Stegostoma tigrinum: one gene and its partner. The protein of the gene in region 1 purifies or fractionates together with the protein of each later gene. This does not show direct contact. Links are inferred from orthologs where the notes say so. Each region holds a gene or a part of one and is shown in the gene's direction. Other genes may lie near its edges.

Region 1 (10,679 bases):
GTAGCCATTAATAGAGACTGTTAGTGGCTAACAATAGGTAATGTATTATGGCAGGCTATGTGATAACAAGATTCTGAGGAAGGGTCACTGGCCCGAAACGTTAACACTGATTTTTTTCTTCACAAATGCTGTCAGACCTGCTGAATATCTCCAGCAACTTCAGTTTTTGATCCTGATTTACAGCATCCACAGTTCTTTTGGTTTTTAATGTGATAACATGCTGGTTGGATGGTAGGTAAGAACAAGGGGAACCCTATTGCTGTTCCGGGAGAGAAGAGAGAGTGTGAGGGTGGAACTGCGGGAGATGGATCAAACCTGGTTGAGGGCCCTGTCAACAATGGTGCTGGGGAATCCTCAGTTGAGGAAGAAGGTGGACAGTTCAGAGGCTGTCTTATTGAACTTGGCCTCGTAGGAACATGTGCGACAGAGACGGAGGAATTGAGAGAATGGGATAGCATTTTTATAGGAAGCAAGGCATGAGGATGTATTGTCCAGGCAGCTCTGGGAGTTAGTGAGTTTATAGTGGATATTAGCAGCCAGTCTATTCTCAGAAATGGAAACAGAGATGTCGAAGAAGCGAAGGGAGAAGACAGAGATCAACCAGGTGAGAGTGAGAGCGGGGTGAAAACTGCGAGCAAGAATTGATGAACTTTTCCAAATTTGGATGAGAGAGGGAAGCAGCACCAATGATATCATTGATATATCAGTGAAACAGTAGTGGGTGGGGGCTGGAATAGGACTAGAACAGGGAAAGTTCCACATACCCCACAAAGACACAGGTATAACTAGGGCCCATGCAGGTACCCATGACCAACCCTCTGACCTGAAGGAAATGAGAATAGTTAAAAGAGGTTCTAGGCCTGAAACGTCTGCTTTTGTGCTCCTAAGATGCTGCTTGGCCTCCTGTGTTCATCCAGCTCCTCACTTTGTTATCTCGGATTCTCCAGCATCTGCAGTTCCCATTATCTCAGAGTTAAATGAGAGGTTGCTTAGAGTGAGGATGAGCTTGGCCCACTGAAGATACTCATGGAGACAGTGTGGAGCCACAAGGACTACTGTAATAATCATCCAGTATTTGACATCATTCAAAACCATTAACATCTCTTCCAAGCATAGAGAATCCAGTTAAGCCAATTGAACTCGCAAAGAAAATACTGGAAAGACAAATGGGCCTGGAGATTGGTGCAGAGATTACGGAGGCCCTGCAATTAGTATAACTAAAGGCCCCGATCTCTCATAGAAACAGAAGACAGAAACACCGAGGGACTGTATTTGCAAAGCGACAACAAACTTCAATAAACATCACAACCGACCACGCCAAGAAGTAAATCCGACAGATTTTGAGTACCAAGTAACCCAACTGACATTACAAGTCCTCAAGCACAACTGAGGTGAAACCTAAACTCAACAGACCAGCATAACTAAAGAAAACCCAAGTACTGACACGATAGATCCAATATGTGTCTACCTGTATCAGCAGACTCAACCCAGACTGAGCGGTTGCGCAGCAATGAGTCCCCTACCACATCTGGGATATGACAAGCTAGAGCAACTGCTTTCGGTGAATCTTGAAACCACATTTGGAGCGGTGAGCAGGGTCAATGCCCGAAACATCAGCTTTTGTGCTCCTGAGATGCTGCTTGGCCTGCTGTGTTCATCCAGCCTCACATTTTATTATAATAGTGTGTTATGTCACTTTTTTTGTATTGGTGTTGCCTTGTTGTTTATATAAATAAACAGAGATTCTTTTGCCCATGAACATCTATCTGGTGCCTTCTCGTTGCATCCTGATTAATAAGTCCAGTGTCCAGAACAGGACCTAACAGCAATTCAAACCGCTTCGAAGTCAGAGGTAAACTGACAGAAAACCAGCTTTCCTGCTCCTAAGATGCTGCTTGGCCTGCTGTGTTCATCCAGCTCTACATCTTGTTATCTTGGATTTTCCACCATCTGCAGTTCCTATTATCTCAGTGCTACAACAACATCATTGTTTCCATTGTGGGAGGTCTCGGACCAGAGGGCATAAGTAGAGTAAGGGATTGTCCAAGTGGAACAAAGGTGAGGACGATTATTTTTTCTCCCTCAGGGAGTCATGAATCTCTGGATTTCAGTCCTGCAGTGGGTTGTTGGCTGTGTATTTCAGTATATTCAAGGCTGAGGCAGACAGATTTTTAATCAGTAAGGGAATCATGGGATACAAGGAAAAGGAGGGCAGTGGAGTTGAGAATTATCAGATCAACTGTGATCACATTGAATGTCTCTGCAGACTCAATGGACCAAATGGCCTAATGCTCCTAAGCCTTTGGGTGACTGGTTTGAGGCACAACAATATTAGTAGAAAATTGATTTTTCTGTGTGTGTCTCCCTCTTGAGACTGTGAATAACGAGAAGTTATCCTTTGTTCTATAATGACCTTCTGTCTGAGGATGGGGAATGCATCTATATATTGATCTCTTTTTGCTTGTGCATGCGTCTAAGTAGATAATAACTTGTACAAGTGGAATTAATTATTTTGGATTTGGATAACATGGGTAGTGCTCTATAAATTTATAATGAATGGGTAAATAAATCTGAGCATCCATTTCACCACATAGATTTCAGTATGCAGTAATTAAATACAGTATATCTGAACAGGAATGAACTGTTTCTAAAGTATAATTTGATACTATTGGTAGAAGATAATAACTTTTCTGTACTTAATGTGTGTTAATTTCTCTCAAATTTAAACATGGAAATCCCTGGTTTCAAAACGTAGCTATTTCTGAGACACTCCAAATAACTTCGGAGAGATTTCCTCTAATCACTATTTGAAGGTAAACATGGAGTTTCTTTTTGTCTACGTCTTTCTAATTGATGTATATCCCTCTCTATTGTTTGTTATCACTCTTTATTATCCACAATGCCTCCAATTTCCATTTCATCTGCAAGCTTATTAATTAGACCACCTGCATTTTCACCCAAATCATTTATATATATTACAAACAATGCAAATTGAAGCACTGTTCCTTGTGGAACACCGCTGGTCAGTCAGATCTGCAGTCAGAAAACACCTCTCTTCGACTGCCCTTTGTCTTCTGCGGCCAAGCCAATTTTGCATCCAATGTACCAACTCACCATGGAGTCCATGCGATTTAATCTTCTGGACCAGACCACCATGAGATCTTGTCAAATAAAGTCCACGTCAACAACATCCACTGGCTTACCCTCGACAATCATTTAATCAAAAAACACATTCAAGTTTGTGAGACAAGACCTCCCCCACATAAAGCCATGCTGATTATCCCTAATAAGTCTATTGCTCTCCAAATGTAATTAAATGCTGTCTCTAAGAATTTTCTCCATTAATTTCTATACCATTGATGTAACAGTCACTAGCCTATAATTTCCTGGATTAGTCCTGCTGTCTTCTTAAACAAAGGAACAACTTTGGCTATTCCCCAGTTTTCTGGGACCTTGTCAATGGCTAAAGACCATACAAACATCTCTGTCAAGGTGCCAGAAACCTTCACCCTTGCTTCCCTCAGTATCCTGGAATAAATTTCATCAGGCACTGAAGTCTTTTCTACCTTAATGTTTTTCATGACAACTTCTCCTTCTTAATATCAACAAACAATGCATCAACAAACCCCTCTCTAAACTTACCATCATCCATGCCTTTATCTTTGACGAGTACCATTGTGAAATACTTATTAAGGACCTCACCCAATTCCTTTCGCTCTACATCTTAATGCCCTCTTTTGTTCTTGAATGAACCTACCCTTTGCCTAGGTACTTCTGGCTCCTAATATACATATAAAATACTGTTGGGAATCTCCTTAACCCTACTTACCAAGGGCATTTCATGGCCCCTTCTAGCCCTGTTAATTTCTTCTGTTAAGTTCCTTTCTGCTTTCTTTATTCTCCACAAGGTCCTTGTTTGCTCTCAGTTTTCCAAATCTTACACATGCTTCCTCTTCCTTTTTAACTAAACTTACAACATATCTTGTTATCCAAGGTTCCTGAATCTTGCCATTCTTAGCTTTCATCCTCACATGAACAAGCTGGTCCTGAACTCTAGTCAACTGGCTTTTAAAAGAATCCTATTTCAGATGTGGATTTACCTGCAAACAGCTGCCCTCAATCCAATTTTTCCAGTTCCTGCTGAATACATTGTCATCAGTCTTCCCCCAAAATTGATCCTGTCTATCGTTCCTCCTTGATTTACTTGATTTAGCTCCTCTCCTCCTCAAACACTCCACATGTTGACCGACTGCTCTGGTTTTCCCACCTCTCTGCCACACTAGTTTATACCCTCCAAATGGCGCTAACAAATCTCCATGAAAGAATATTGGTGCCCTCCACTTTAACAGCAACACATCCTTCTTGTACCTCCCCTGGAAGAGATCCCAATGATCCGGATATCTGAAACCATCTCTCTTTTTCCATGCCTTTCAATTGTATTATATTCCTATTTCTGGCCTCACTAATATGGCAGAGGGAACAATTCTGTAAGTGTAACCCTAGAGGATCTGCTTTTCAACGTTCTACTTAACGTCCTAAATTCCCTACGCAGGACCTAATTTCATTTTGCCTATGTCATCAGTACCAGTATGTACTACTATTTCGAGCTGCTTACTGTCCCCCTTCAGAATATCCTGTGCCCGCTCAGGGACATCATTGACCATGGCACTGGGGAGGGAACACACCATCCTGGACTCTTGCTGACAGCCATATAAACACCTATCTGTGCCCCTGACTACAGAGTCCCCAGCATGCCTATACTTCGACCCTCCATGCTGTAAAACAGAGGCCAATTGTGGTGTCACAGATCTGGCTGCTGCTGTTGCTTTCCCCTGAAAGGCCACACCCATCCACTCCCCAACAGTATCCAACACGGTACATGGATGTGAGAGGGGAAAGGCCACCGGTGACTACAACACTGCTGCCTGTGCTTACTTGTCTTCCTCGTGGTCACTCAACTCTTTTCTGTCGACATAGTCTCAGTGATGGTGTGACCAGCTCACTAAACGTGCTATCCATGACATTCTTCGCCTCATTGATGCTCCATTTTCTTGCAGAAGACATGGTGGGGGGACAGAGTAAGGAGTAAACAATAAGTGGAGATATAGCCCAAAGACAGACAAGAACATTTGGACAGACAAAGGAGTGGATAACAGTCAGCCTGGGAGAATGCATGGTGGGCTATTAGTGGCTAACCATTGGCAGTGTGTGTAGCAGACCATGTGTTAACAAGGCCTGCTGTGTGGAGGTTAGGATAAGGACAGGGGAGAAGTTGCCTCCAGTCCTAACATTGTTGAAGTCAGTGCTGAGTCTCAAAAGCAATAGAGTTCCCAAGGGGAATATGAGGCTCTGTTCTTCCAACATGTACTGAGTTTTTCAGGAGCACTGCAGCAAGCCTGAGTCAGAGATGTTGGTCATGGAACAAGGTGATGTGTTGAAGAGTCGGGTGACCAGAAGATCAGGTTTTATTTTTGCAGGCCGAACGTAGATGTTCTGCGATGTGGTCGCCCAGTCTGTGCTTCATTTCCCAAGTGTAGAGGAGACCACACTGTGAGCAACGAATGCTGTAGATCAAATTGAGTGAAGTGCACGTAAAGCGCTGTTTCACCTGGAAGGTGCGTTTGCGCCCTTGGATACTGAGGCGGGAGAAAGTAAACGGTTGCAGGGTAAGGTGCCGTGAGACTCTGGGGGCTTGGTGGGAGTGAAGGAAGAGTGGACAAAGTGTTCCAAAAGGAATGGTCATTGCAGAAGGCTGACAAGGGAGGGGAGGGTGTTTGGTGCCGACATCCCACTGGAGGTGACTGCCTCCAGCTCTACTTATCCCATGTGGATTCCAACTCAAGTTTCATCCTTTGTGTTTTGAAGCCATCCGGGACCACAGATATTTCTGTGATGTTCAATGTTCCACACAGCTATTCTCGCTGCATCCTCGGATCCACACTCAATTTCATGCGTCGCCATATGCACACTCTCGACCTCTCTCTCCAAAAGCACTACTTTACGCTGGCTTGGAATTACACTGTTCCCTAGATCCACTTCATCCTCTGATTCATTCAATGTGCTAACAAGAAACTTTTCCTCGTTATGAGAGGTAACTTGGAGGAAAACATAACTTCAAAGTATCAAGCTGCTCAGAAATGTTATGGTCTGCTTTGTGTGACAGCTGGAATTTTAAGCTGAACTACCTGGCCCGAACGTAGGAAACACTATGCTGCTATAGGCCCCTTCAGAGGCAAATTTTAGATAGATAGGTAGAGAATTTACAGCACAGAAAGAAACTCTTCTGCGCATTATGCCCATACTGGTTATCAAACATCCATTTATTCTAATCCCATTGTTCAGCACTTGGCCCATGGTCTTCTGAACATTTTCTCATCGAACTGTCCAGAAATGTTTTGGAGCAGGTACCACTGTTCGAGCAGTACCACAAGAGCAACCTTTGTTTCAATTTCTGGTTTGAGATGTTTGTCAGTAACTGATGTATAAATCGGCAGACTGGAATGTGACCTGTACCTTTAAGGCAGGGAGGGGTGTGGCCTGGCGGCGGCGGCGGGGTAACCAGGGAGACGGCGGGAGCGTTGGACCTGGTCGGTAGTGGCCCTGACTCTAGCCCAGGAGACAAGATGAGCACCGGACTGGTAGGTATCCTGCTCGACCCCCCAACCCCACATTATTCAGGTTCATTCCCCGTTGGGGTTCCGGGGAAGCCAGGACCTGCCAAGCGGCCGAGGCCTACGGCAAACCCGCGTGTTTGGAAGTGGATGGGTTGGGGGGGCGGGGGGGAGAACGAAGGAGGGGAGACAAAGCGGGAAGGGAGTAGGCGACGGAGTGGGGCGGGGGGGGGGGAGGGGGTGAGAGCGAGTAGGGGAGAGAAGGGGGGGATGGGGAGTAGGGGAGAGAAGGGGGGGATGGGGAGTAGGGGAGAGAAGGGGGGGATGGGGAGTAGGGGGGGAGGATGGGGAGTAGGGGGGGAGGATGGGGAGTAGGGGGGAGATGGGGAGTAGGGGGGAGGATGGGGAGTAGGGGGGAGATGGGGAGTAGGGGGGGAGGATGGGAGTAGGGGGGAGGATGGGGAGTAGGGGGGGAGGATGGGGAGTAGGGGGGAGATGGGGAGTAGGGGGGAGGATGGGGAGTAGGGGGGGGAGGATGGGGAGTAGGGGTTAGGATGGGGAGTAGGGGGAGGGGGACTGGGGCGTAGGGGGGAGGGGGGATGGGGAATGGGGGGAGTCGGGGGGGAGGGGGGATGGGGAATGGGGGGAGTCGGGGGGGAGGGGGGATGGGGAATGGGGGGAGTCGGGGGGGAGGGGGGATGGGGGAGTCGGGGGGGGAGGGGGGATGGGGGAGTCGGGGGGGAGGGGGGATGGGGGAGGGGGGAGTCGGGGGGGGAGGGGGAGGGGGGAGTCGGGGGGAGGGGGGAATGGGGGGAGTCGGGGGGGGAGGGGAGGGGGGAGTGGGGGGAGGGAGGAGTTGGGGGGCGGGGGGAGTGGGCGGGAGGGGGAGGGGCGCGTGGGGGGAGGGCGGAGTTGGGGGCGGGGGGGGGGAGGGAGGAGTTGGGGGGAGGGGGGAGGGGGGGCGGAGTTGGGGGGCGGGGGGCGGCGGCGAGTGGGGGCGTGGGGAGTGCGTGGGGGAGGGGGGCGTTGGGGGGAGGGGGGCGGGAGGCGTAGGGGGAGTGGGGAGTGAGTGGGGGCGGGGGGATGGGGGAGTTGGGGGCGGGGGGCGGGGGGGAGTTGGGGGGCGGGGGGCGGGCCGAGTTGGGGGGCGGGGGGCGGGGGGCGGAGGAGTTGGGGCGAGTGGGGAGTCGAGTGGGGGCGGGGGGAGGGGGGCGTTGGGGGGCGGGGGGCGGGGGGAGGAGGCGTTGGGGGAGTGGGGAGTGAGTGGGGGAGGGGGGAGGGGGGAGTTGGGGGGCGGGGGGAGGAGGAGATGGGGGAGTGGGGAGTGCATTGGGGGAGGGGGAGGGGGGAGTTGGGGGGCGAGGGGGGCGTGAGTGGGGGAGCGGGGGCGTGCGTGGGGGCGGGGGGAGTGGGGGGCGGGGGGAGTGAGTGGGGGCGGGGGGCGTTGGGGGGCGGGGGGCGTTGGGGGGGAGGGGGCGAGTGAGGGGGGGAGGGGGGAGTGAGGGGGGAGGGGGGAGCGAGTGGGGGCGGGGGGCGAGTGGGGGGGGTTGGGGGAGGGGAGGGGGGAGTGAGTGGGGGGGTGGGGGAGCGGGGGGGAGTGAGTGGGGAGGGGGGAGTGAGTGGGGGGTTGGGGGAGGGGGCGGGGGGAGTGAGTGGGGGGGTGGGGGAGGGGGCGAGTTGGGGGCGCGGGGGGCGAGAGTGGGGGGGTGGGGGAGGGGGCGGGGGGAGTGCGGGGGGAGGGGGGGCGGGAGGGGGAGTTGGGGGGAGGGGGAGGGGGGAGTCGGGGGGGGCGGGGGGGCGTCGGGGGGGCGGGGGCGGGGGCGGGGGGCCATGGGGGCGTCGGGGGGCGGGGGAGTGGGGGGCGGGGGCGGGGGGAGTGGGGGGAGGGGGCGGGGGCGAGTGGGCGGGCGGAGAGTTGGGGGGGGCGGGGGAGGGATGCGTTGGGGGGGCGGCGGAGTTGGGGGGCGGAGGCGTTGGGGGGCGGGGGAGGGGGGCGTAGGGGGGCAGGGGGAGTTGGGGGGAGGGGGCGGGGCGAGTGGGGGGAGGGAGGCGTAGGGGGTCGGGCGGCGTTGGGGGGCGGGGGAGGGCGGCGTTGGGGGGAGGGCGGAGTTGGGGGCGGGGGCGGGCGGAGTTGGGGGGAGGGCGGAGTTGGGGGAGGGGGCGGGGGCGAGTGGGGGGCGGGGAGGGGCGAGTGGGGGGCAGGGGGAGTTGGGGGGCAGGGGGAGGGGCGAGTGGGGGGCGGGAGGAGTAGGGGGGGGCGGGCGGCGTTGGGGGAGGGGGAGGGCGGCGTTGGGGGGGAGGGGGGCGGAGGCGTAGGGGGAGTGAGTGGGTGAGGGGGCGGGGGGAGTTGGGCGGGGGGAGTTGGGGGAGGGGGGAGGGGGGCGTTGGGGGGAGGGGGGCGGGAGGCGTAGGGGGGGCGGGGGGAGGCGGAGAGGGGGAGTGGGGAGTGAGGGGGGAGGGGGAGGGGGCGAGTTGGGGGGAGGGGGGAGTGCGAGGGGGAGGGGGGAGTAGGGGGGGCGGGGGGAGTGAGGGGGGGCGGGGGCGAGTGGGGGGGAGTGGGCGAGTGAGTGGGGGAGGGGGCGAGCGAGTGGGGAGGGGGCGTGCGAGGGGGCGGGGGCGAGGTGGGGGGCGAGGGGGCGAGAGGGGGGGCGGGGGGCGAGAGTGGGGGCGGGGGCGAGTGGGGGGGAGGGGGGAGAGCGTGGGGGAGGGGGCGAGTTGGGGGGGAGGGGGGCGAGCTGAGTGGGGGATGGGGCGGGGAGTGAGTGGGGGCGGGGGGAGTGAGAGGGGGGGTTGGGGAGGGGGCGGGGTCGTGCGTGGGGGGTGGGGGAGGGGGGGGAGGGGAGGGGCGTGGGGGTGGCGAGGGTGGCGGGGGAGGGGGGCGAGGGGGAGGGGAGAGTGGGGGGCGTGGGGGCGAGGGGAGGGGGGAGGGGGGCGAGGGGGAGGGGGGGAGTTGGGGGGCGGGGGAGTGGGGGGGAGGGGGGAGTGGGGGGGAGGGGGGAGTGCGTGGGGGGGTGGGGGAGGGGGCGGGGGGCGTTGGGGGGGAGGGGGGCGTGAGTGGTGCGGGGGGTGGGGGAGGGGGCGAGGGGGGCGTTGGGGGGGAGGGGGGAGTGAGTGGGGGAGGTGGTGGCGGGGGAGGGGGAGTTGGGGGGCGAGGGGGGAGAGAGGGGGGAGGTGGTGGAGGGGGAGGGGGGAGTTGGGGGGGCGGGGGAGTGAGTGGGGGGGTGGTGGAGGGGGCGGGGGCGAGTTGGGGGGGAGGGGGGCGTGAGTGGCGAGGGTGGGGAGGGGCGTGGGGGGGAGTTGGGGGGGCGGGGGGAGAGAGTGGGGGGGTGGTGGAGGGGGAGGGGGGGAGGTGGGCGGGGAGGGGGGAGTGAGTGGGGGGGCGTGGTGGAGGGGGAGGGGGGAGTGGGGGGGAGGGGGGGAGGGAGTGGGGGGCGGTGGTGGAGGGGGTGGGGGGAGTTGGGGGGGAGGGGGGAGTGAGTGGGGGGGGGGGGCGAGGGGGAGGGGGGAGTTGGGGGGGAGGGGGGCGAGAGGGTGGGGGGGTGGTGGAGGGGGAGGGGGGGCGTTGGGGGGGAGGGGGGAGTGAGTGGGGGGGTGGGGCGGGGGAGGGGGGAGTTGGGGGGGAGGGGGGAGTGAGTGGGGGGAGGGGGGCGTGGGGGGTGGGGGGCGTGAGTGGGGGGAGGGGGGGCGGGGCGAGGGGGGCGGGGGGGGGGGCGAGTGGGGGGGGGCGGGGGAGGGGGGAGTGGGGCGGGGTCGGGGGGCGTGAGGGGGCGAGGGGCGAGGGGGGAGGTGGGGGGTGGGGGAGGGTGGGGCGGGGGGCGAGGGGGCGGGGTGGAGGGGGGGTGGGGGGGGGAGGGGGGGCGAGGGGGGGCTGGGGGGGGGAGGGGGGGGGAGGGGGAGGGGGCGAGTGGGGGGAGGGGGCGAGTGAGGGGGGGTGGGCGGGGGGAGGGGGGAGGTGGGGGAGGAGGGGGGAGGGAGTGGGCGGGGGGGCGAGGGGGGCGGGGGGAGTGGGGGGGAGGGGGGGCGTGAGTGGGGGGGGGGGGCGAGCGGAGGGGGGAGGGGGGGGGCGGG
Region 2 (10,894 bases), on another chromosome or scaffold:
TCTGGAATGGGCTGCCAGAGGTAGTGGTGGAGGCAAGTACAATGTTGTTATTTAAGAAATATTTAGACAAGTACATGGATGGGATAAGGAAAGGAGGGATATGGACCAAACATGGGCAAACTAGATTAATTGTGAAAACTGGGCGGCGTGAGCAAGTTGGGTCAAAGGGCCTGTTTCTATGCAGTAAACCTCTATGACTCAATGAGTACTGGAAATCTTAAAAGCTTAGCAGAAGAGTATGTTGTGGGTGTGGAGGGGTTTACCTATGGATGATTCTGAAGTGAGGAAATAATCACATTAGTTATTTATCCAGGAAGTACAGAGATCCCCTGATTCCTGACCCTTGTCTGGTCCTAACCCCTTACTACGATGTGGTAGAATTATTGCTGGATTCAAGGGGGTGGGGGCAAATTTGAGACTTTTTTTTATAAAGCACTTCAGCATTACAATTTCTGTGGTTCATTACACATACTGGAATAAAGACAAAGGCTGTTATAATTACCAGGGTTGAAAAGGATAGCTCCTTTCAAGTACGCATACTCCTTAGGACTAAGATCCAGGCCCCGGAATTTGTTCAGACACATTTTTATTCTGTGTACACCAGCAAGCATTGGCTGCCGACTCCCTTCTTCTTCTGTCCTGAGCAGATTTGGTCCATTCAGCAAGATTCTCCTCAGCATGCTGTGACCTGGGGTCTCTATCACCTCAAAGCTCACTCTATCTTGAGCCAATCCTAACAGAAACAAGGACAGCCGGCAGCTCTCCAGCAGCAGCAGCTGGTCTGATCTGGGAAGATGATGGAATGACGGGAGGTTCCTCATAAAAGCGACTGTCTTTGCCAATACATCGGATACTGCCTGACAGGTAACACGGGGAGTCTTCAAGCAAACCTGACTTCATAGAAGCAGTTGTGATGTGAGAACTTGCAGTCTCCACGTTGGCTCAGGATGGTGTACAAGATTGCATTCTGTCTCTTCCCAGAATCACACTGGCATTTATCAGATAGAACACTGACACAAGCCATAACTGCCTCACTGCCAAACCAGGATCACTCGGAATTTAGCTCTCTGTAATGGTGTTAACAAATTAAATGTAGTTTGAAGTGTTAATTTTAACTGGAAACCAAAATCCTCAAATTCTCTAATGCTTCAAACAACTAGTTTTAGAGCTCTGCTGAACAAGAGTTGGCTGAGAAAAGATCAGGTAGGCTCGGCTACAGCTCCCAATGTAGCACAAGCTTCCACAGGCAGCGAATGAGCTGCTTATACCTGAGACTATTTATATTGTTTCATTTAGAGACTATAAGTGACCTTGGCCAGAAAGAACAAGCAGCTTTCATTGAAAAAAAAGCTCACAGTAACTAATTGGCCCAGGGATGTATCTCTTTGGTGCCGGCCAGCAGCAGATAAGATTTTTTTCAATGAAACAGCAGGTCAGACAGATGGAAGTGGCTTATTTCGATTACCTGATGTTGTGTACACAGACTTGAAACCCACATTGTACCAGTGCACCAAGGACTGCAAGAGGCCAATAACAGAACACCAATCAGGTAAACACAGTTACAGAAAGTGATATCAGGGTAATTAGATAAGGAATATTTGCTGAATGTAGCCTTGAAGCAAATGAACATGTAAACAATTCTATCTGATGTCAGATTACTGTATTATTAATAAAGCAACCACACCCTCACCAAGTGTTCCAAACTGCTATGTTTCAATCAAGCTCATAAGTAGACACGAGTAAATGCACAGCCAGAGAAAGTTCACAGTGTGCAATGTTCTGATTCAAGTTGACTCTATGTTGTTTGCTAATCTTCAATCCAGCAACAGAACTGCTATGATTGACTTCACAGTTGTTGCACCAGAGAGAAGGCAAACTGGATTTTCAGTTCTGATATTTTCAAATAGGTTCATAGTTTTTTTAGTTAGGCTAGTGTATCAAGGCATAAGAAGCAAAGGTAAGAAAAATGAGTCGAGAAACAGATCAACTATGAATTAACAGGATGACAAAACAGATTTGAGGAATTGAGAGACCTCCTTCTGTTCTTATGTTTTCAGTCTCTATTAGAAAATGCCTATGCATAAATATTTTTTCAGAAAGCATTAAGTGACCTCAAATGTATGGAGAAATTTATCTTATCCCAATGAGAACATCGCTTTTAAAATGCAACAGTGCAGGTGAAGCAATCTATGTAAGACAATAGGTGACCACTAGGTATTTCATTGTCTGCAAAACTCTGGAACACATGAAAAAAAAGCCATTTATTAGTAATTGTACAATGCACAACCTCAGGATATACCAAAGTATTTCACCATTGCATTGTAGGAAACAAAGCATCCAAACAGCAGTTTGATAAAGACTGGATAATTTGATTTGAGGTTAAAACCTATGTCGTTCACTGATGCCATTTAGAAAGGAAGCCTACTGCCTTCACCCAGTCTGACCTACAGTTCCAGATCCACATCATTATGATTGACTCTTAACTACTCTCAAGGATTTTTAAAAATTTATTCACTCATGGAATGTGAGCATCTGTGGCTAGGCCAGCATTTATTGCCTATCCCTAATTGCCCAGTTAAAATTTAACCAAATTGCTGTGGGTGTGGAGTCACATGTAGGGCAGATCAAGTAAGGATAACAGATTTTCTTCCCTAAAGAATATTAGTGAATCAGATGGGTTTTCCAACAATCAGCAATTTTTTTTGGTATTAGTGGACCCTTATTCTATATTCATTACTGAATTCAAATTCCACCATCTCCCTTGAACATTAGCTAAATTTATGGATTAATAGTCCAATAATACCACCCCAAAGGTGAGGCATGAACAACAAATGATGCTTTGCTAATTTAACAAGGTGTAGAGCTGGATGAACACGGCAGGCCAGGCAGCATTAGAGGAGCAGGGAAGCGAACATTTCAGGTCTGGACCCTTCTTCAGAAATGGGGGAGGGGAAGGGGGCTCTGAAATAAATAGAGAGGGGGGAAGGCGATGATAGAAGGTGAATAGTGGAGCAGATAGGTGGAGAGAAGACAGACAGGTCAAGGAAGCGGGGATGAAGCCAGTACAGGACGGCATAGGTAGGGAATTGGGATGGTGGTTGGTCAGTGAGGAGCGGATAAGTGGGAGGGAAGACAGACAGGTCAAGGAGGTGGGGATGAGGGAGGGGCTGGTCTTAGGGGTTGGTCGGGAGTGGGGAGATTTTGAAGCTTGCAAAGTGCACATTGAGATGTTTGGGCTGCAGGATTCACAGGTGGAATATGAGGTGGTGTTCCTCCAGTAGCATCATAATGGCACTGGAGGAGGCCCAGGATGGACAAGTTGTTCAAGGAGCGGGAGAGGGAGTTGAAGTGATTCGCAACTGAGAGGTGTTGTCATTCGTCACGAACCGAGTGTAGGTGCTGCACAAAGCAGTCTCCAAGCCTCCGCTTGGTTCCCCTGCTATAGAGGAGGCCACATTGGAAACAATATACCAAATTAATGGACGTGCAGGAGAACATTTGTTAAATATGGAAGGTTTTCTTGGGGCCTGGGATGGAGGTGAGGCGGGAGGTGATGGGGCAGGTACAGCATCTCCTACAGCTGCAGTTGAATGTGCTAGGGGTGGTGGGAATAGTGGAGAGTGTGAAGCGGATGACGGATTCGCAGAGAGAGCAGTCCTTCCAGAAGGAAGATAAGGGTGGGGAGGGAAATATATCCTTGGTAGTGAGGCCAGATTGCAGGTGGCGGAAGTAATGGAGAATGATGCTTTGAATCTGGAGGATGATGGGGTGATAAGTGAGGATATGGGGAATTCTGTCTTTGTTGTTATTGTGGGGAGGGGGTGTGAGGGCTGAGGTGCAGGAAATGCAAGAGATGTGGTCGAGGGCATTTTCGACCACTATGGAGGGGAAATTGCAGCCCTTGAAAAATGAGGACATCTGGGATGACCAGGAGCAGAACACCTCATCTTGGGAGCAGATGCAGCAGAGGTGAAGGAATTGGGAACAGGGGATAGCATTCTTGCAGGAAGGTGGGTGAGGGGAGGTGTACTCTAGGTAGCTGTGGGAGTCGGTGGGCTTGAACTAGATATCAGTTTCCAGGTGGTTACCAGAGATGGAAACAGAGAGGTCCAGGAAGGAGAGAGAAGTATCAGAGATGGTCCAGGTGAACCTAAACTTGGGGTGGAAGGTAGTAGTAAAGTGGATGAACTGTTCGAGTTCCTCATGGTAGTACGAGGCAGCGCTGATACAGTCATCGATGTAATGGATGAAGAGGTTGGGGATGCTGCCAGTGTAGCCACAGAAGAGGAACTGTTTCATGTATCCTACAAAGAGGCAGGCATAGCTTGGGCTCCTGAGGGTACCCATGGCCTTTCGTCTGTAGGAAGTGGAAGGAGTTGAAGGTGAACTTGTGAAGTGTAAGGAGAGTTCAATTAGGCAGATAAGGATGTCAGTGGAGGGGGACTGGTCGGGCCTGCGGGAGAGGAAGAAGCAGAGGGCTTTTAGGCCATCTGCATGGGAATGCAAGCATATAGGAATGGATGTCCACGATAAAGATGGTGTTGAGGACAGGGAATCGGAAGTTTTGGAGGAGGTAGAGGGCACAGGCGGTGTCAGGATGTAGGTGGGGAGTTCCTGGACCATGGGTGAGAAAAAGGAATCGAGATAAGTGGAGATAAGTTCAGTGGGGCAGGAACAGGCAGATACAATGGGTTGACCTGGGCAGTTGTGCTTATTGATTTTGGGTAGGAGATAGATATGGACAGTGTGGGGTTGGGGAACAATGAGGTTGGAGGCTGTGGGTGGGAGGTCACTTGAGGTGATGACGTTTTGGTGGTCAGGGGTAGGGTCATGATCAAGGGGGCGGTAGGAGGAGGTGTCAGAGGGTTGGTGCCTGGTCTCGGCGATGTAGAGGTCAGTGTGCCACGCGGCAACTGTGCCTCCCTTGTCCGCGGGTTTTGTAGTGAGGTTAGGGTTGGAGCAGAGGGCTGCACGTTCTGTGGGGGAGAAGTTGAGGCGATTGATGTCACGATGGCAGTTGGAGACAAAGAGGTTGAGGGAGGGTAGGAGGCCTTGAGGTGGTGTCCAAGAGGATAGGGTGTGTTGGAGGCCTTTCTAATGATGTCTACACCCTATCCATGAAAAAGAAATCATAACTGCTCCCATTATTTGGACAAATGAATTTATCCAGAGAATTTATTCAGAATTCCCAAGTGTTATTAGTGATTACATTTATATCCCCTAATTCTGGCCTCAGCTGCATGTGCTGTATTCCACCTTTCCATAATCTTAAAAGTCATTCTTCAGTCAAAGATTCTCAAACTCTCCTCACACAAGTGAGAGTTACTGACTTACTGCAGTATTAATTACTTTAGAACTCCCACCCTTTGACCTGCTCTGGTTCCTGAGTTATGCCTTTCACAAGCTTCTATATCCTTTTCCTGGCTACTCCCCATTAAAAACAACGTAAAATAGGCGGTACAGTTCTGAAGGGGACGAAGGAGCCGAGTGGCCTGAGTCTATATGTTAAGAAAGCATACTGTGATCTTGTCATTATTAATAAATACATAAAGTTACAGGAGCAGGGAGATGATGTTGCAATTAGACAACAGACTTGTTAGGCCTCAGCTGGAATATTGTGTACAATTGTGGATACAATATTATAGGAAAGATGCGAATGTATTAGAGATAGTGCAGAAGCAATTGACAGGAATGGTTCCAGGAATGATAAGCTTGTGTTGAGAGGATAGATTTAGGTTAAGACTGTTCTCTTCGAAGAAGACGGAGAGGACATCTGATAGAGGCTTTCAAAATCATGAACGGGTTGAATGTAGTAGATAGAGAGAAGTTGTTCCTTCTTACAAAAGAAAGCAATAATAAGAGGTCATAAATTTAAAGTGATGTGCAAAAGATGCAAGGGGTGGGAAAAAAACTTAGTCAGTAGTTAAGACATGGGATGTACTGCCAAGAAATGTGGTTGAGGCATTGGATAATTACTTAGAGACAAGTAACGCGCAGTGTCACAGGCAGAAGGCCTGCCCTAGGGAATAAAATCGAATCAGACACCACGAACTCCTGCGCTGTTACACTTCTGTGAAGAGGCATTTTAACTAACCCCTAGCCAGTTTCGAGCCACACAATCGAGTACGGTGCTTTTATCTAACCAGTTCCGAGATGTTGTTACACACCTCCAGAGCAGACGTTGCCTAACTCAGAGGTAACGAGATTTCTCCTGCACCACAAAGGTCCGCGCCACTGAGGCTTTTGTTGAGGCACGGGTTGCTAGGGCCCTATTCTTGAATGTTCCATAGTGACCGCGCCCCCCCATGCCACACAAACCTTCAATCTATTGGTTTGACGTCACACGTCGTGATTCGACGCGTCTGATGATTGGCTGAAAAACATGTCCATCAACACTTGACCTCGGCGGCACGACTTCCGGGTGAGTGATTCGGGGCCTGTAACGCGTGGTTGATCCGTCAGCCTGAGGGGAGCAGCGCTGATTCCGAGAAAGGATGGGGGACTCATCCGGCGAGGATCGTTTCGATGGCATTCTGCTGGCAATGGCCCAGCAACATGAAGGAGGCGTTCACCAGGTATGAAGGAGATACTGCCCTACCCCGGTGTGGGCCGATTCCCCACCCCCACCGTGGGTATATCCCACTTGCCGCCTCTACTCCGTTCCGCTTGATGTGGTTGGATTCGCTACTTCTTCACCCACCTTTTCACCTGGGAGTATATATTCCTCTTTCCGCACTCCCTATATTTAACCAGATGTAGGGAATAGATTTGCTTTCATCCCCCACCCCCAACAGCCGTCACTAGAAAGGAGAGGAGTGAATCCTTAACATCCCCGCCAACCCATTTCATTCTTCTTTCTGCAGCCCCTTATATTCTGCTTGGGGTTGGATCGTCCACCCTACTGACTTTCCGGGGGGGTGGGGGCAAGCGGGAATGAAGGAGAGAAAGCGGATTCTCGACATATCCCCCACCCCCAACCATCTGGAGTATAACCCTCTTTCTGCACCACGGCTACCCTTATATTCTGCTTTGGGACGGGGCAAGGGGGTGAATCTTTTAAAACGCGTTAATTTTTCTTGTGGCGGATCCTGTAATTTCTTCCACCTTCGTTCTGCCAGGGGGTAGATCTCCCCCAGTTCCCAGTGTCTGGGAACATCTGCCCAGTGGTAAAAATAAAGACAGACTTAAGACCTTTGGCATCTCAACGACTTTGCAGCGTACTTAATATTTAATATAGGAAATGGTTTTGGTAAACTTCATGTATTAACTTCAACAAACAATAATAAATGATTGCCGACTCAATGTCCCTGTAGTTGAGGGATAAATATTGACCAGAATCGCATAGGATGTTTCCTTGTTTTAAATCAAAATATCCATCCAATCTTTACCCCCCCCACCCACCCACCCAAGAGGTGTTACCCGCTAACAGAGAGACTGGAAGCATCAATCTGGATTATGACTTAAGTCTTTGAAGTGATATTTGAACTCATGTCCTTCTAACATGCCTGATTTTGTTATTTCGGATTCTCCAGCATCTGCAGTTCCCATTATCTCTAATACAATTTTAACCCCACTGCGAAGTCTCTTCTAGGGATGCCTAACGTGAAGAAGTTATCCTCCTCCCTCTGGACAAACCTCAGGGGATCTCTTTCCCACTGCAACTCTCTTGTAATCTTCGATCCGCTTCCCTCTCGTTCCCTATTTATTTCAGAACCTTCTCCTCCTCTCCCTTTTCTGATGAAGGGTTTAGGCCTGAAACACCAACTTTTGTGCTCCTGAGATGCTGCTTGGCCTGCTGTGTTCATCCAGGTCTACACTTTGTTATCTTGGATTCTCCAGCATCTACAGTTCCCATTATCTCTCTCAATTCTCTGGTGGTTGGTTTTGGTCAGTTTTTGCCATTGAGCCTGCCTGAATGTTGTATCCAATCTGTTATGTATTGTCTCTGCCTCCATCAGTAGGAGTATTCCCTTTATTTACTGGTGTAACCACTGGTGATGACAGTACGCCTGCTAGAGAGTGAAAGAGAAGTTTAATGGTGGTCTAGGCCCGAAATGTCAGCTTTCCTGCTCCTGTGATGCTGCTTGGCCAGCTGTGTTCATCCAGCCCTACACCTTGTTATCTTTAATGGTGAAATGTCCAGTTCACTGTGGTCATTTGAGGGAAATGATAGAGTTTGCTGTATGTCATCTACTGCCTGTACCATGTACTTCACCGAGCAGGACACTGCGATCTGTGCCTCAAGCTGCACTCAAACATCAAACAACTTAAAATTGATTTATTTCCAAGCTGACGTGGGTGATGCTGGCTGGGCCAGCATTTATTACCCATTTCTAGTTGCCTTTGAAGGTGGTGGTGAGCTGCCCACTTGAACTGCTGCAATCCATTTGGTGTAGGTCTATTAATGGTCCAATGCCATTAGGAAGGGAATTCCAAGAGTTTAACTCAACACCGAAGGGACAGCAATATTTTTCCAGGTAACGATGTGAGTAGATTGGAGGGAAGCTTGCAGGTAGTGGTGTTCATATGTATCTGCTGTCCCTGCCCTTGTCAAAGGTAAAAGTTTGGAAGACTGTGTCTGAACAGGGTTGGTGCATTTCTGTGTTGCTTCTCATTGATGGTACACACTGCTACTCCTGTGTCTCACTGGTAGAGGGAGTGAATATTTGTGGATGTGGTGCCAGTTAAGCTGGCTGCTTTGTCCTTTTTGGTGTTTCATGTCTTGTTGGAAGTGTATTCATCTGAACAAATGAAGACAATTCCACCACACACCTGACTTGTGCCTTGTAGATAGTGGCCAGGTTTTGGGAAGTAAGGATGTGAGTTACTCTTTGTCTGATTCCTAACCTATTACCTCATTTTGTAGCCACGGTATTTATATGGCTAATCCAGTTAACTTTCTGGTCAATGGTAACCCACAAGATGTTGATAATGGGGGTTTCATTGGTTATGCCATTGAATGCCAGGGCTCTTGGTTAGATTCTGTTTTATTGTAGATGATAACTTGTGTGACCTGGCTGCTTGCTAGTTGTCAGCCCAAACCTGGATATTATTCAGGTCTTGCTGCCTTTGGATATGGACTACTTCAGATTCTGAAGAGTTGTCCATGGTATTCAAGGTGAACAGATTATTGCATTGCAAGTGCTGTTTGATAACACTACTGATTACCTTTTCTGTCACTTCACTGAAGATTAACAGCACGGTAACTGGCCAGGTTGAAATTTGTTTTGTGTACAGGACATACCTGGGTGATTTTTCATATTTGGGTGTTAATGTTTCTAAGGGGCATTTGTAGTGTTGATAAGTCTGTTTGATGATGTTTGTAGTGCCTTAGTTGATGCCAGGTGTCCAGCTTCATTCCGTCTTTTTCCTTTCTGGAGGCTGATAAAGGTGAGACCAGTTAAGAATCACACACATTGCTGTGGGTCTAGGGTTGCTCGTAAACCAGAACAGATAATGTTGGCAGTTTCAGAAATTCTGGAAAAGCTCAGCAGGTCTTGCAGCGTCATGGAGGAAGAATCATCAGACCTGAAATGTTAACTCTGATTCTTCACAGATGCTGCCAGATCTGCTGAGCTTTCCCAACAATTTCTGTTTGTTACTGATTTACAGCACTTGCAGTTCTTTTGCTCTTAAGATTGGCAGTTTGCTTCACTAAAACATATTAATGAACCAGGTACATTTTTACAAAAAAATTGACAGTGGTTTATGGTCCCCATGAGACTTTGAGTTCAGATTTCATTGGATTCCAATTCTATGGTGGGATTCAGACTCGAATGTACATCAGGTAACCTTTTCAAGTGTAGTGGGTCTAATTAAGAGCGTAAGCTTTTTGTTTCTCCCCCCCAGCTTGTGGATACATTCTTCAGTTTTCTGAGGCGCAAAACCGACTTCTTTACTGGTGGAGAGCAGGGAGCAGCTAACAAAGTGAGTACTTGGGAGTTTCATTATATCTCCATTTCTCTGAGGGTGGGGGATTGCTCCTCATTTTCATTTCTCAATTCAATTTCCCACTGGTAATTTTCCCGACCTCTTTAGTGTATTAATGGTGTAATCCCACTTAACTGATAATTTTGATCATGTGTTTTCCACAGTTGGTCACAGACACTTTCAAACGCCACCATAAATTAGCAATACAGGTTCAGATGGAGAAGGAGGTGAAAAAGGAAGCAGAGAGAAAAGAAAAATTGGAACGGGCAAAGCTTATACAAGAGAAGGAGAAATCTGAACCAGAACTGAAGCAGCCAAAGATCAAGGAGCTGACTAATGAGGAGGCAGAGAAATTGCAGAAGGAGATTGACCAGGTGAGTACATCATCTAATGACCAATTGCACCATTAGAATTGGTGTATGGAATTAGGAGACAGGAGTAGGGCTAATGGCATGCAGTTGTGTTAAGATGTGAATAATGCACAGGGATCTTGAAGCTTCAATGTAAACGAATAACTTTTGAAGTGATAGAAAACTAAACCTAAATTGACCGATGATACCAAGTTAGTTGGCACTGTTAATAATGCAGACAAGAGCAAAAAGGTGCAGGAAAGTAGATAAGATCTTTTTTTCTTAAATGGTGAGAAGCTATGAACTCCAGAGGAGTAGAAGGTTTAATGGTTTCAAATATAAATAACTGAAAAGGGTTATGTTCTCAGAGATAATGGGAACTGCAGATGCTGGAGGATCCAAGATAATAAAGTGTGAGGCTGGATGAACACAGCAGGCCAAGCAGCATCTCGGGAGCACAAAAGCTGACGTTTCGGGCCTAGACCCTTCATCAGAGCAGTTATGTTATCTTAAGTTTACATAAAACCCTTAGTACATCCCATTTTTCATATTGCATTTTAAGTTCAGATAGAGAGAAATTACTTCCTCTGGACAGTCCAGACCAAGAAAATAAC

The links. Proteins that work in one complex are often made in the same cells at the same time.
Region 2: the proteins of POC1 centriolar protein homolog A-like (region 1) and nudc purify together in Homo sapiens (co-immunoprecipitation; 3 studies listed by BioGRID and IntAct, with this or other methods). This does not show direct contact. The link is inferred for Stegostoma tigrinum from reciprocal best matches to the Homo sapiens genes POC1A and NUDC.

The regions. Positions count from the first base shown.
Region 1 is NC_081364.1:22,083,722-22,094,400, forward strand, and holds the start of POC1 centriolar protein homolog A-like, read left to right. Parts: upstream 1-6,556; 5' UTR 6,557-6,623; coding exon 6,624-6,638; intron 6,639-10,679.
Region 2 is NC_081377.1:32,943,834-32,954,727, forward strand, and holds the start of nudc (nuclear migration protein nudC), read left to right. Parts: upstream 1-6,366; 5' UTR 6,367-6,494; coding exon 6,495-6,575; intron 6,576-9,849; coding exon 9,850-9,927; intron 9,928-10,094; coding exon 10,095-10,304; intron 10,305-10,894. UniProt on the Homo sapiens protein: Plays a role in neurogenesis and neuronal migration. Necessary for correct formation of mitotic spindles and chromosome separation during mitosis. Necessary for cytokinesis and cell proliferation.